Coturnix japonica: one gene and its partners. The protein of the gene in region 3 purifies or fractionates together with the protein of the main gene of each other region. This does not show direct contact. Links are inferred from orthologs where the notes say so. Each region holds a gene or a part of one and is shown on either strand. Other genes may lie near its edges.

Evidence for each region. The genes of interacting proteins can lie anywhere in the genome.
Region 1: the proteins of RAB11A (region 3) and WDR44 purify together in Homo sapiens (affinity purification with mass spectrometry; 3 studies listed by BioGRID and IntAct, counting the BioPlex papers as one, with this or other methods). This does not show direct contact. The link is inferred for Coturnix japonica from reciprocal best matches to the Homo sapiens genes RAB11A and WDR44.
Region 2: the proteins of RAB11A (region 3) and EVI5 purify together in Homo sapiens (co-immunoprecipitation; 3 studies listed by BioGRID and IntAct, with this or other methods). This does not show direct contact. The link is inferred for Coturnix japonica from reciprocal best matches to the Homo sapiens genes RAB11A and EVI5.

The regions. Positions count from the first base shown.
Region 1 is NC_029519.1:3,211,112-3,216,334, forward strand, and holds the start of WDR44 (WD repeat-containing protein 44), read left to right. Parts: upstream 1-2,101; 5' UTR 2,102-2,214; coding exon 2,215-2,291; intron 2,292-5,223. UniProt on the Homo sapiens protein: Downstream effector for Rab11 which regulates Rab11 intracellular membrane trafficking functions such as endocytic recycling, intracellular ciliogenesis and protein export.
Region 2 is NC_029523.1:12,180,699-12,185,849, reverse strand, and holds the start of EVI5 (ecotropic viral integration site 5 protein homolog), read right to left. Parts: upstream 3,123-5,151; 5' UTR 3,092-3,122; coding exon 3,056-3,091; intron 2,529-3,055; exon of another isoform or gene 2,509-2,528; intron 2,177-2,508; exon of another isoform or gene 2,042-2,176; intron 1,936-2,041; exon of another isoform or gene 1,817-1,935; intron 1-1,816. Other genes in the region: RPL5 (60S ribosomal protein L5), read left to right, coding at 4,116-4,118, 4,924-4,993, 5,089-5,151. UniProt on the Homo sapiens protein: Functions as a regulator of cell cycle progression by stabilizing the FBXO5 protein and promoting cyclin-A accumulation during interphase. May play a role in cytokinesis.
Region 3 is NC_029525.1:16,456,236-16,460,922, forward strand, and holds part of RAB11A (ras-related protein Rab-11A), read left to right. Parts: coding exon 1-105; intron 106-1,024; coding exon 1,025-1,218; intron 1,219-1,674; coding exon 1,675-1,755; intron 1,756-4,687. UniProt on the Homo sapiens protein: The small GTPases Rab are key regulators of intracellular membrane trafficking, from the formation of transport vesicles to their fusion with membranes.

The DNA.
Region 1 (5,223 bases), on a different chromosome or scaffold from region 3:
AGGGATGGAAAGGAAATATATTCCAGCATGCATGTACAAGGTATTCCTCCTCCTCTTAGGCCAGCAAAGGCTTGGTGCTCAGGACTTTAACCCAAAGAAAATCATCCTCCTTTAACTGACCACTGATGCCACCCCCAAGCCCCAGCACAGTTCCACACAGACATTACCTCTCGTCATCTTGTTTCTTGTACTCTTACAAAACACCATATCCTGGGGAACACAGCCACACAGACAAGCATCTCCAAGCTCTGAAATCAGATGCAGGAGACCTTGGAGTGAATCTTTGGTCAGCCATATGTTTTGGGTTCAATTTCTACCTCCCCATCCCATGGATGATGCGGAATCAGCATTTCTACCCTTGCGCGTCTCCATGCAGTCCTGAGACAGGCAGGAGATCCCCCACTGGCTGTGGAGGTAACCAGTTCAGAAGATACTTCTCGTCCTTAGTTTTTAATGCAATAATAAAAATAATAATAATTCTACTTTAAAAGCCTATGTCCCTAGGAGACTAGATGAATCAGGAGACTGGTAATGTTCAGCAGAAGCTTTAAATCTACCCTGTATTGGTCTGTAGTGAGTATGTTAAGATTTAGTGGAAGGAAGACCTATCTGCCAATGTCAGCACTGCTAGCAAATGAGCTAGGAAACAATGGAGAGAGATTCCTGTGCTTCCTGGGCCTCCAAACCAGGAAAGCAGCAGCACACTCAGTGAAGCAAACGCAACTTTTTCTGCCAGAAGTCAGCCTGGCAATGGCCAAAGGTTGAGAACCTTCCAGTACTGCTCTTGGTAGGATGGTCCTGCTGACACCATGGGGTGCTGGGGACAGGCTAACATGTGAGCCCTGATTCATGGGAGGCCAGGGGAAATTCACATCTAAGCCAAAGGGAAAAGAATATATCATCCCCACATCAGGAGGGGAGCAGGCTTGTGGGGATACAGCTCGTCAGTGCTGGCGCAGTAGCCTCAGTGCTCATCTCTGTCTGCAACATGGGAAAGACTGTGCCAGCCCTAGCAAGAAAACACTCAGGTCATCTGTAAATCCCAATCAAAACATTTATCTTCTGTCCCTGAAAACTTTGTCCCTATTACATTCTCGTGCAGCTCTCCACAAACAGCACAGACAACGGAGCTCTACAAAGCCCTGGCAGCACTGTGAAGAACTTGAGCTTTGTTCCTGCATTAGCTGCCAGCCAGCACTAACACCTCCTGCTCAGGTTCTGTTCTGGCAAGCGCATTTCCTGATGCTTAGAGGTGCTCGACAAGACCTCCAAAGCCAGTATTCTATTTGCCTCCATGGACAAAGCTAGTCGGGCTGTACCACAGTGAGCTGTGGTTGTAATGCTCCTGTTCTGGAGGAGCTCTTTTGCTCTGATGCAAAAGGCAAATGCTTTTGGAGCATGAAGATCAAGCCCACTGCAGTTAGACTGCACTAATAGCTACGTAGACCTGATTAAATCCCTGAGCTGCGTTTTTATTTTAGAGTTCCTTAATTCTGCAGCTATATAATCTCCTTCGTGTAACAAAACATGAAGCCATGCAGCTGCTCTCAGTTACTGACAGGCTGCTAAACAATTCAAGATGCTTTTCAATAGCTTTTTTGTTTTGTTTTTCTTTTTCTTTCCCCCCCCCTCAGCTTCCAGAGCTGTCTGCCTTCCCATCTAGGGTTACATCACTGTTGTCTTTAATAATTCAGAGACCATCCCATTGACGCTAATGCGATCAGCATGTTTGGCTGTCAGAGCAGGAGCAGTGAATAACAAGTCAGTAATGTTATGTACCACTAATTTGCCCTTATTTCAGCACGAAGAGTTTGAGATGCACACTGCTTATTTTTAAGAGGAACTGGGTGAATCAACTTGTGCTTTTCCAACCTGTCTCCTTCCTGACATCCCAGCTGGTTTGGCTGGGAAGCTGTATGATATTTTAAGGCAACAGGAAGGTGCAGCCCTACATTGTGTGCACATGAATGACGGCCGGATTAGGGCACAGCCCCACAGCGGCGCTGCCCCCTCAGCTCCTCAAGATGGCGCCCGCCATCACGCCGCTTCCTCTCCCCTCCCTCACTTCCTCCCGGCACGGGGCGGTGCCTCCTTTACTCTCGCGATACATTCCCGTCCCCCGCCTGCCCGTCCCGTCCTGCCCGGACGTGGCCGCGGCCCCGCGGCGCTGCACTGCTGGCGGCTCGGCCCAGCCCGGTGCTGCCCGGCCCCGCCATGGCCTCAGACAGCGACACCGAGGAGTTCTACGATGCGCCCGAAGATGTGCACCTGGCGGCCGCCTCCCCCGCGCCGTGAGTCTCGTGCGGCCGCCGCCCTGCCCTGCCCTGCCTCCTCCTCCCCTCCCTCGGCCCGGCCCCCCCTCGCCGTCCCGGAGCTTGTGGGGAGCTGAGAGAGCCCGGCCCCGCGTCCCCCCATCCCCACACAGCGGGTGATGGGGTGGGCTGGCATCGCCGTTATCCTGCTGGGCTGAGATGAGCCTTCATCGGGCGGGTGGGATGCGGGTCTCGGGTGGGATGCGCTGCGGTGCGATTTGGTAGCGCAGATCTCCTTTTGGTGATGGGAAGATGTGATTTTTCTGGGGCAGAAGAAGCGAGCAGGGTGCTGCCTGTTAAACAACTTCAGGTGCACTCTGTCGTATGGTTTTAATGGCGTTGCCTGGGTGTTAAGTACGATTCCGTGCAGTGAGTTCTGAACAGCATTTAATAGCACAGCTCCCTGCACCTGTTAGCTCGAAGCTGCCTCATTGTGTTGCTGCCATTAACCAAACGCGCTCCCTGTTTTTAAATGGTAATTATCTTTCTGGCTTTGTGCTCGGTGGGTTGTGTCAGCTCTGGTTTTTCACACAGTCTCAACCCAAACCTCTCCACGGTTTGACCTTGCAGGATGAGGTGCCACGTAGCTCCTTTGAAGAGCAACAAGATATGGGTTGTGGAATCCATCCTCTGGAGCTTTAATAATTGACCAAGGGTTTGTTTTAACCTGTGGCAGCGGCCATTGCATGCTTTGAACAAGGGAAAGACTGGATTTACATTCTCATGCATCCTATAGCAAAGCTGTTCCTAACTTAACTTTTTACATAGCCTGGTTAAAAATGCATCTCGGCACACAGCTCTGCAAGGTGTAGTGAGATTGAGTTAGCAGCATGTTGTTACAGAAACATGGTTATGCTCCAGCTTCTCACCTTGCCCAGGTGCTAGTGATCACCGAACCCTTCTGAGCTGTTTTAACTCGGTGACTGAAAGCAGCTGAAAACAAGGAACAGCAAAACCTCTTCAGTGAGTTAAAACAGCTGCGGCCTGAGAGGATGGAGACAGGGTAGGGTGAAGGTGTGGGATTTGTGGCTGAAAACAGAAGTGGGAAGCAGGAAACTTCCATCCTTTGATCGAAGTGAGCCATGAAATCCGTTCCAGCTCCATATCTTACCTTTTATTTCCTACAAATAATGCTGTCTGTCCAGACTTGCAAGTTTCCCCCACCCGTATTAAGTAGGGTTTGCTATGGAATAAATTAAAAGAAATTAAAACTGAAGTTCCTTTAGGTTTCTTATTGCTCTTCCGTAACCTATAAGAATGCATCACTGGCTCGGATTGATGGCATCAAATAAGGAGGTGATCTCAGAGGGCTTAGTCTGCAATAAAGGTACTGAATCTGTCATTCAGTCTGATATTCAATCTGTATTAACAACACAGAGAGAGTGTTTTCTCTGAATAAGCTTTGGGATTTCCTGAGAGCTGATTTCATATTTACATTGGTGCTTCTTGGAAGCAGGCTTGTAGAATCGCAATTGCATGGGGAAGTTTAGTAATTGCTCATATAGAAGTCCTGAATAATAAAATGACTGCACGCTTCTGTATTGCCTGTGGTGAGGCCTACATCCTTCCCTTCTGCTGCAGGACTTTTGATGTGTAACTCTGCTTTTGGTATGGTGTATGAACATCTTGCTGTTTACTAGCTCCAAAGCAACGTCTGTTTCTGTAAGCAGTTCAGGATCTTAGGAAAAGAGATATAAGTGCCAGTGTAGCCAGTCAGTGATGGCATCTGTTGTTAGTGGAGTGGGGGGGGGGGGGGGGGGGGGGGAGGCAGCATGGCAAAAAACATCCTGATTTAACCTCTGTCACCCTGTTGCCAAAAGGCTGTAACTGAAAAAAGGTCAAGGAAAAAAAAAACCTCAGCAATGATTCTAGGCAGGATCAGGAGGATGTCGGCTGGGAGAGATGAACGTGAAGTAAGGCACACTTGTTTGGATACAGGTACATGACCCACTTTATTTCTTATGAAGAAACACAGTTCACTTACTCTGTAATGAGGAGTTGCTAAATACTATTGTTTGAGTGGGTGCTGCACTAGAGCTGCTAGTGGGAGAGTGGCCTTCTTTAGGCTGATCAGTACTGGGATGAGTTCTGCAGTTAAATAACTACAGAGATCTTCAAGTGTTTACTTGACATTTCTGTTAATCAGACCTGTGTTGTGTTTATGCAGGTGAAATAGGAATTTTCTTCCCCTGTTGCCCAATCTTTGTAGGTAACTTTTAACTCCTCTATTTGTTAAACTGCTGTTACTGGTGGTGTCACATAAGGATACTGAAGTTAGAGGCATTTTACTTGAAATGTGGTCTGCAAAATCTATTACAAAACATTGTAGTGGAAATGCTAAGTCTCTGCTTGAAGCAGTGATGGAGCACCTGGTTGAAGGCAGGGCCAACCCAGTGGAGTTCAGGTGTATGTAATGTACCTGAGTGATGGAAGGGGTGAAGCCAGGATCCACCCCTTCCCAGCCATAAGGGTTGGCAGTGGAGGTGAGGGTGTCTTGCTGGAGATCCCTGCACACCTGAGGCTTTCTGAAGGTAAGTGGCTTCTTTCCTTTGCTTCTGTGCCCACAGCTGTTTGAGCAAATCCTCACTTGTTGCAGCCTGGGACCTTGCTGCTCTGCTGTCATTGCTGTGCTTTCCATCATGTTACAAATACATAATCCCATCATCCACAGAGCAATCCTGCATGAAAACAAAACTAAGTTTTTGCACTCTTCTGTGTTGTGTCAGTGAAGCATCAGAATGGGATGCTCCTTTGTTGGGTGCAGATTTTCCACAAAGCTAAGTGTTTAGGAGTTAAGGAATTTGGGAAGGGCAGCTGCATTGTTTGAACCTCTCACTGTGCATTGCTATTGAGGGAGTGATCTGCCTGCAGCAGAAGGGAGCGTGCTGGTAGCTGGCAAGTGCTGTGATAG
Region 2 (5,151 bases), on a different chromosome or scaffold from region 3:
GAAAAGACGCTCTTTAACCAAAGATATTTAAGCTGATGACTATAATGAAGACAGTACTCCCCATTTAAATGAACCAAAAAATTACCAACAGCTCATGTTGGTTTTCATAAGGTAAATAGGACACAGGGCTTTAACTCAGCATGCTGTCTGAAAACACCATCACACTGTCAAAACGTCAGAGAGCCTTAAGAGTCACAGATCACTATTATAAACTTATGTATTGACTGCTTGCTTTTATAATTAAGAACATATTTTTATTAGAAAAAAAAATATTGGAAAAAAAATACTGAATTCAGAGTATGAAATGAAGGTAAGGAAAAAAGCTGCTCAAGCAAAGAACAACCAGTTTTTTTTTTTTCCTTTTAGACTGTTACATGAGAACACTGAATGAACAAGATAAACAACCCTGGTTTTCAAAGTGCCCTGACAAGGAACTTCACTTCCCCCTATTCTCCATTTTTCAAATACTTCTCTCTCACCCTTATCCAAAGAAGCAGCTGACACCAACTACTCAAGCACTTCACTTTCCCCCAGCCCTTCTGTCAACTTTGAGAAGCTTCTCCCACCTCCTCCTCCTCACCACCTCCATTTTACCTGCTCCATTCACCAGCTATCACCTGTTTACTTGCTCAAATCCCATCAGGACCAGCCTACAGAAGAAAAACACACAGAAGGCAATGAAAAAAGACACGCGAAGAATCCATCCAAACCACTGACCTCCAGCTCAGGAAGCGCCTGAGCCTCAGCCTGCTCAGAGATCTGAGGAGGAAACAGACTCTTGTTTTTAATTGTTCTTCTCCAAACATCTGCTGCTCTCAGAGGCACTGCTGGGCTGGCTGGACCTCAGGGATATTCACCACAGCTGTTCTCATCCCAGCTTAATCAAATTCAAGCAATGTTGATTCATAATAGCTGGTGTTTTCCTCCTGATTGTCCCTCTTTCATCGTCCTTTATTTCCTCTCCTAACCACTGCTTGAAATTGTGCTTATACTTAGCTACCTCAAAATGCCTTTAAATATTGACATCTGTATGCAAATACAGAGCTGTATGACCACGACCAAAGTGGAAACTGGAGGCTAGAAGGGAAGATATATAAGTGCATTTAAGCAAAATATCCACAGGAAAAACAAAGAGAATCCAATTAGCACATCTTTTAGCCGCCAAGTGAATAGAAAAAAAAAAAAAAGAGTTAGGGAAAAAAAAAACACAAAACAACTTGAGTTTCCTGACAAACACTTACAGAGATAAGGAAAACACGAAATGCTGCCAATCTCCTCCGTACAGATGTGACTCCTTCCTACAGCTCTTGTAGGCCACTTGTCAGAAAAAACTGACTCAGGACAATGTAAGAATGCTTTAAAATGTGCTACCTGATTATACCAGCTCACAGTGACAACCCCAAACACACCATGGCAACCTCTCACAAACTGCCCTCCGATCAGCAACGCAGGAAACGAGCAGGAATTCCGTGTGACTATAGAACACCTCTGGACACCGAAGTTGAAAAGAACCTTAAGCAGCCACAACACCAACACCGACTTCTTGCCCTTATTAAACGATCAAGTCGGTGCAGATGAAGCACGAGGTGTCAGTGAGACAGACCTCTAAAGCACCATTTGAGAACACCTTCTCAACAACCACACACCCAAAGGCTCCTGCTTTAACGATACCTCCATAAAAACGTGACTGAGAAAAATCTCCCTTTACAGATAAACCCCTGTGAACGCACCGCAGACCAAACACGAGCGCTGCTCCCTGTCCCCACCCCGGCCTGCCAGCCCCACGGAGTCACGCTCTCCCCACCGTATTACCCACCTTTCCGGCCGGCCCGAGGTGCACGGCCCCCACGGCCCCCGGCCCGGCCGCGGTGAACAGAACCCGGCGCTGAGCGACTCAGCCCACCGGGCTCCGGGAGCGGCACCGCCCGGCCCGACTCTCCGGGCCGGACATCGCGGCCGGGCCGCCGCCGCACCCCGCCTAGGCCCCGTCGCGCCCCGCCCCCGGCCCCTCAGCGGCGGGGGCGCCCTGACCGCGCCTCACCTTGGAAGCGTCGCCCGCGACAGAGAGGCGCGAGCATCGGCGTGCCCCGTAACCCGCCGCCGAGCCCCGCCGAGCCGCCCAGCCGCGTCCCGCCCGTTCCGCCTCCCGCTGTCCCCGCCGGCCCCGGCAGCCGGGCCACGTCCCTGCCAGCGCCGCGCAGGCGCAGTGTGCGCGCAGCCGCCGCGAGGGTCTGCCCCGCGCCCCCGCAGCGCCGGGCCTGGCCCGCAGGGGCCTGTTCCTCACAGCACCCAGGGCTCGGGCGTGGCGGGCTGCCCACGCGACACGGCCGATAACGGGCCCCGCTACCGCCGGCAGCAGCGCCCGATGGCAGGGGCGGCAGCACGGCTCCGGCCTCGCCGCCGTTCATTCGCTCGCCGCGAAGCCGGGTGACGGCCGGGTCTGCCGAGCCTGCCCCGCAGCTCCGCAACGGCGAAACGCGAGGCGGGCCGGCCCGCACCGCACCGCACCTCGCCTCTTCCCGCCGCCGGTTCCCTCGTGCCGCACACCGCACCGGCACGCGCCGCCCGCCCCTCACACCAGGCGGTGCCACCGGGCACCCGCTCCGTCCCAGCGCCTCGTGGTGCCGCCGTAGCGCCCGACCGGCGGCCCACACCGCGTCCAGCCGTAACGCTCCGGGCAGCGCTGTGCGGCCTCAGCCTGACACCGGGATCCCGAAAACAGATGAGAGCAGCTCCGGGCAGGAGCCTGTCGGGTTCTTGTTTGTTTAGAACCGTCCTGAAAGCTTAAAGCACAGAACTGAAGGGCGCTAACAGGAGACACGCGTGGTACCCCATAGAACACATGTTAGGGACGCAGTCTGAGCAGCAGCACAGTGCGGAGCAGCTTCACACACCAGCCCCACACGGCAGCGGAGTGAGGAGGGCAACCAGAGCACAGCACCGCAAACACAGCGCGAGCTGAGAAACTGCATCAAGAAATCATACCCGTACGAGTCTCCTTCTACCGTTAAAAGTTACCGGTAAAAATGATCACATCAAAAACTGGCATTTTTACCTCAGAGAGCGCAGAGCCCTGTTGAGCCGCAGCCATAGCGCCGGGCAGCACCGCGCACAGCTGGGAGGCCTCGAATTTGTGAGGGCGGGGCGGGGCCGCCTGGACCCACCTGTGGAGTAACGGGTGTGTGGTACCGGGTGTGTGTGTGTGTGTTACCGTGTGTGTGCTGTGTTACCGTGTGTGTGTTACCGTGTGTGTGTGCTGTGTTACCGTGTGCTGTGTTACCGGGTGCTGTGTTACCGGGTGCTGCGATCGGCGGCAGCTCAGAGCCAGGACAGCGGGCAGAGCGCCGCGGTTCCGGAGCTGGAGCTGAGGTAGATGGAGATGCGGCATGGATGCCCCGTCCTTGGAGGTGTTCAAGACCAGGTTGGACGAGGCCCTGGGCAACCTGATCTAGTAAAGGTGTATGTTTGGTGGCCCTGCCAGGCGGGGGGTTGGAACTACATGATCCTTGAGGTCCCTTCCAACCCGGGTCATTCTGTGATCTGTGTGAGGTACGGGATCGGCGCCGGTTCTTGTGTGACTAAGGAGCGCTTTGTTCTTTCTTTTGTCCTTTTGAGATCGCTTGTAGCAGATGTACGACTTTTTAAAATAACGTTTAATATTCAAAATATGATCGTTTATTTGTTGTTTTTAAGTGAGGCCAAGCAGAGAAACGCGTCACGTCCAAAGGTGCTGCTCTGCGCTTCTCTCACAGCTCCAAGGGATTAGCGCGGGACCTGCCTGTCCCACACACACACATACAGCCCATACACATACAGAGGTGCTGCAGGCGGCGGCCGTTCCCGCTCCGTTCCCGGCTGTCTCCTGTCCCCGTTGCCCTCACTCCGTACAGTGCCGGTTCCCCGTGCGATGCGGGGTCGCGGTGCTGTCGCTCCTCCGTTCCTGCAGCGGGCGGTGTCGAGCCTTGGGGTCGGGCCGAGCTGCGGCGCCCCGCCTCGCGGCGCAGGGTAGGAGCTGCGGCTGCGCAGTGGGAGCGGCCTTTTCCCCCCTGCAGTGGCTGCAGTCGTTGTGCGGAGCGGGCCCCGGCCTAGGCCTAGACCGGACAGTACCTGGCACGATGGTCAGTACCGGCCCCACGGGACCCCCAAGCCGTAGCACGGCTCCGGCCTCCGCTCCGCGCCCGCCGCGCGGCTCCTCCGGCCCGGATGGAGCCCGATTGAGCCGGGCCCGCCGCCGGCCGCCGCGGCTCCGGCGTGGCAATGGCTGCCTGCGGCACGGGGGCTGCGCCGCAGGGCGGATCGCGGCGGCTCCAGCCGAGCCCCGCGGGGTCCGGCACGGTCCGGCTCGTCCCCGCCGCTGCCCCCGGTTCCCCGCAGCCCCTCGCTGCGTGGCGGGCCGCGTGGCGGCGAGAGGGAGCGGGAGCCGAGGACGGGCGGCAGCCGGGGCCGGGCCCGCGGTGACACGGCACCTGGGTGGGGAGCCGGCGGCTGACGGGCCGGCCTTGTCCTGCCGAGGGTGCTGCTCTGAGACCGGCGGGGCTGGGCGCCGATTGAGTCGGGGCGGTGCTAGGACAGCTCCTCGTTTCTGTAGGGGGAGTTAGGGTGAAACGGCCGAGGGACTATAGCTCCAGCTCTGTGGGAGTGACTGGCAGTGAGGAGCTGTGGCAGTTAGTCTGTGCAGACAAATGTTTTATTAATAGATACGATTTCTTTCTCTCTTGCAAATCTGAAGTCACGGGCAGGGAAGTTTGTGTGAAGGATAAAAATCCCGCTGTCACTTCCTTAAGATGGTTTTGAACTCATTGCATATGAAAACCTGTCATCTTATTCCTGATCCACCAGTTTTATTAATAGTGATTCATTTAGTTTGGATGGCCTTGGCTTATGTGGGTCCATGTTAGTAATGTCTTATTTTTGTTATTCAAGGGGTTTGTGAAAGTTGTCAAGAATAAGGCCTACTTCAAGAGATACCAAGTGAAATTCAGGAGAAGGAGAGGTATGGCTCAATTCCCCATATGGCTGAATTACATTATACTGACAAATACTGTTACTTTTTTCAACATGTTTTCCACACTGTAACTTGTTTTTCAGAGGGCAAAACGGATTACTATGCTCGCAAGCGCTTGGTCATTCAGGATAAAAACAAGTACAACA
Region 3 (4,687 bases):
TGGAGTAGAATTTGCAACAAGAAGCATTCAAGTCGATGGGAAGACAATAAAGGCTCAGATATGGGACACAGCAGGGCAGGAGCGATACCGAGCTATAACATCAGCGTAAGTGGCAGCCTGTATGGCCGGAGAGAAGCTTTTGCTGAGGAGGGTGAACTTGGGGCCCTTCTGATTCCTCAAACTGCAGAATAGGATGGTTTTATTTTCTCTTATAATATCTACATATAATATGGGGAAAGGAAGCTTGAATGTTATTCTGTCCTGAAGCTTGACATAGTATGAACAGATTTACTTCTCACTGCTCTCATGATATGTAACTGGAGGCGTTTCTGAGCTGAGAGACTTATTTAAATGCAAGTCACTGATGAAATAATAGCTGTGATGATGGAGGTTTTATCAGTGGTAACCTATGACCAGAACACCTCCTGTATCAGTAGGGAGGCACTGCTCACTTTGTGTGTTTAATGAAAAAAACAGCACAGCTAAAGCTCGATTTGAATAAAGCTGGAGGTAATTGTGGGGTGGGAAAGCACAACCTCTTTCTTTTTGAATGTGTAACTGTGCCTCTCCCTGGTCTGAGAGGAAACCAAATGGGGCATTTCATAAAGAGAACACATCAAGTTGATGGTTTTTTTTTTTTTATGATCCAGTGAGTCATTATAAAGTCTTCCTGCTGCTCCGGGCTGTGCCTGTGCTGCACCCACAATGGTGGGTGGGGAGCCTTTCAGGTGTGGGTCAGAGGCTGAAGGTGACAGTAGATCCCCCACAGATACAGTGCTTCATTTTTGAGGTGCAGGGTAACCCACCAGCCCCTGAGCTGCCCTGGCTGCTGTTGTGGTCACACGGATTAACCCTGGTCTGGATGCTGTATTTCAGCTGCTTCAAGTCCCATGTATCATGCTGTGTGTTATTATTATTTTTAATATAACTGTCTTTGCAGTAGTGGGAAACAGTTATTACTCAGTAGCTTGTCACTTTCCATCATGTTTCTTGCTGGTTCTGTAACACATCTCTTCACCCACAGGTACTATCGAGGTGCTGTAGGGGCATTACTGGTGTATGACATTGCTAAGCACCTTACTTACGAGAATGTCGAGAGATGGTTGAAAGAGCTGAGAGACCACGCAGACAGCAATATTGTAATCATGCTTGTGGGAAACAAGAGTGACTTGCGCCACCTGAGAGCAGTCCCTACAGATGAGGCCAGAGCTTTTGCAGGTTGGTGAACTCAAAAGAATTTCCTAATTCAAACTGTCCAGACTCTGCCTACCTGATGTGAAATACGTGAGTGTACAGGTAGGAGGGAAAAGACTCAGTGCCACGTACTGCTGCATGTCTTTTTTCATTCAGTTAAAATTGAAGTCCTATAGAGCCTGTATGCTGATAGACTCTCAAGAATCTGCCAGAGGCACTTGAAAACAGTTTTAAAACAGACTTAGTTCCGTGCCTATGCATTGCTTTTCTTGTAGAAGCTCTGCTGGTGGGTTTAGGTTTGTGTTTTGTGCATGGTTTCAGATCATAAAGAGGAAAACCCTACAACTTTTAATGCTTTTTTTTTTAGCACTAATGCATCTATCTCATCAGCAACACCTCGTACGTTGTCTGGTACAAAAGTTCTTTTGGATGGGAGATAAATGTTATACATCTCTAATTATAGTATTTCTGTCCACACAGAGAAGAATGGTTTGTCATTTATCGAGACATCTGCTTTAGACTCTACAAATGTGGAAGCAGCTTTCCAGACTATTCTGACAGGTGAGTCATCTAATACTTTGTGTTTGGAGGAGGAAGGGCAGAACGCTGCTCTGATACGCAGCAAATAGGCATTTATTTGCCTATAAAGTGTGTAAAATTTAGCAATTCAATCATTCCTCACAGCTGTAATATTCAGACGCTGCTTTTGAAGTGTCATAGTTGATAGACCAGCACAGGGCTTGGGAATGAGTCTGGTCTTACTCACTTTGCTCTGCCCTGGGTTTCCAGTCCGCCTGGTTTATGTGCTTCACTTTCCCATTTGTGGAACAGGGAGTGGCTGTGTGAGAGAATTGTCTGATGCCCACCTCCACACAAAATGGCTATTGTCAGAGGAGAACGCAATCTACCTTGTTTCCATCACTATTAGTGAGCATAACAGCTGCCAAGAAGTGAGCAGTACTGTAGTCTGGGACGCAGTGACTCCTGAGTGCAGGGTGGTTGCTGTCAGTGCATATAATAAACCTGGCTGGACTTCTGGCCTTTGTAGCACGTGATAGCACTGACTGGTGCTGTTTTCATGCTCAGTGGATGAGGTACTTCCTTTTTGTTTAACCCCTTTGTCTGATAGGCGTAACTTCTCGCTTCTGTGACATTGGCAGCTAGTTAGATTTTTTTTTTTTTTCTCTCTCTCTCTCTTCTTGGCAAGTAATAGATACTTTCTTACACAAACGCATCATAAAGGACTTTTTAGCCATATTGGAACATGCAGTGCGGGAGGTAGCTAGAAAATTAATAAATATACATTCTGGAGCATTTTCTTGGGTTGTTTGAAATATATTATGAGTACCCTTGCAGTGGGGGGGTGGTGAGAGAGAGATCTAACTGCCCTCAGCCCCTTCGTGGACCACTCTGTGCCATTGCAGTGATGACTGGTGTGCTCTGGGCTGCTGCCTGTCTGTGTGATGCTCAGATACAGTATACTGCTGTTGTTATGGAGAAGCAGTTTACCTGTTGGGCACGCACTAGGCTGTTTCTTTTCTCTCTCCTGGTATGCTTCCAACAGCACTTTTTTATTCCAGAAGTTATTTTGGATTCTAGTTAGTGGAGGTTTGATATGCATATATATATAATATATGTATTTTTTGTTTGTTTGTTTTTCCTGGTTTTATTTCTGGAGGATAGCAGTCTGTAATGTGAGAGCAAATGATTAAGATTAGCCCTCAGTGGACTCTGACAGAGTGTTGGGGCTGTTGCTTTCTGAGAAACGTCAGGGCTCCCTGTGTTGCTGTGACAGTGTTTTGAACTCTTGGGCATGCGGACAGAATCCTTCTTGAGGAAGGGCTGGTTCAGCTGTGCTGGAAGAAACACTTCTGTTGATTAGTGGGCACATGGTTTGCTCCAGACATCAACTCCTGTTTCAGGGAGATAAAGATGAAGTAAATAATACATTAGCAGAGGCTTGCCTCCATCTCTGCTGTAACTGGCATGCAAAGGATGAATGTTCTGCCAATAAACTTCTTGATAACACTTCACAGCTGGCTATTTGTGTTAATGATTTGCTTTGAAGGAAAGAGGTGAGCAGTCATCTGAGGAATGTGGTTTTCAGAGTGACCCTGTGGAATCATGGATAGTCTGTATGTATGTGGCTGGGTTGCCTCCAAATGTAACCCTAGATGAATACTTGCTGTCATTTGAAGAAGAAAGTTGATAAAGCCAACAGGCTTTGCCACAGGCATCGTGTGGAGGAGGCTGACAGAAGGGGCAGGGCGTGCTGCTGCACCAGCTTAGTTAATATCTTCCATGCTGGGAAGAGTGCTGCAAAGACATCTTAGGCTGCTGTCAGTGCCTCTCAGCTGCTTAGATCTTTCCTGGACAGGGATGTCTTGACTGAGATCTGGAGCAAAACTCCTTTGTTTCCCTGCCCTACGGAAGGTGATCTGGTTGGGACAGTGGTCTACACCTAGATTCTCAGATGAAGCCACCTTAGGTCGATAGCTTTGGGTGTAGGAAACATGGATCTATTATAGTTAGCACAGTCTTAAGTGAGTGTGTGGTCTGTTGTTACAGATGGTAGCAGAAGAAGAAAACTTTCCTTTTGTCTTGCTGTGTTATAGATTTGCTGGAGAAGGGCAGTGGGGGGGGCAAGGCATTAAATCTAGTACACTTCCTCTCCTGTTGTTTGTACTAGGTGAGTTTTGGGGACCTTTTCCTTCTATGGCTTAGAATAATGGTCCCTGTCCAAGCTCCTCTGTTGTAAGATGTCTAGACTTCAAGGGCTAATTCTTGTGCACACAAAGCTGCTTTGTATTATTTGGCAAATATGAGAGACTGGTGTTTTAATCTTATCCCCTGTGAGCATTCACAGCAGGATAAAGCATCCTTAAAGTAAACTGGAGTCAGCCTCCGCTCCCTGTCTCATTCAGTGCTGCCTCTGTTTCTGTACCACATTCTTCTGTGGTTTCATCTCTAAGGAATCCCATCTCCAAGGAAACAACATCACAGAGTACTGACATTAAGAACATTTCATAAGAACAGAACAAGAGGGATTTCCTCTTTTTGTTAGATCTATACACCTGAAAATGAATGAAATACTAGCCCTGGTTGAACAGACAAGGGCTGGGCAAACAGACAGCAGTTGTTTTTGTTGTTTTTTTTCCCAGCTCTTACAGCACAAGGCCTGTCTCACATGGTTACCAATTACGCAGAGAAGCATTCTGCTGACTGCGCTCTTAATAAGGTCTCTTTCAGTTACTGAGCAGAGCATGAAGTGTAGTGTCTTCATTAAAAAGTACGCATCTTCATTAGCTTGGCATTCCTCAATACAGATCAGTTCCAGTGTAGGCTTTGCCTCTGGGCATTTTGCTGCAGGAAAAGCAGGTTTAAGCTGTTCCTACCTCCTCCATCACACCAACACAACTATGTGTGGTGAAGGAGTGCAACTGTCATGTAGGGCAAAGTAGTTTTTAACCATTCAGGCTTTGATCTAGAGCAG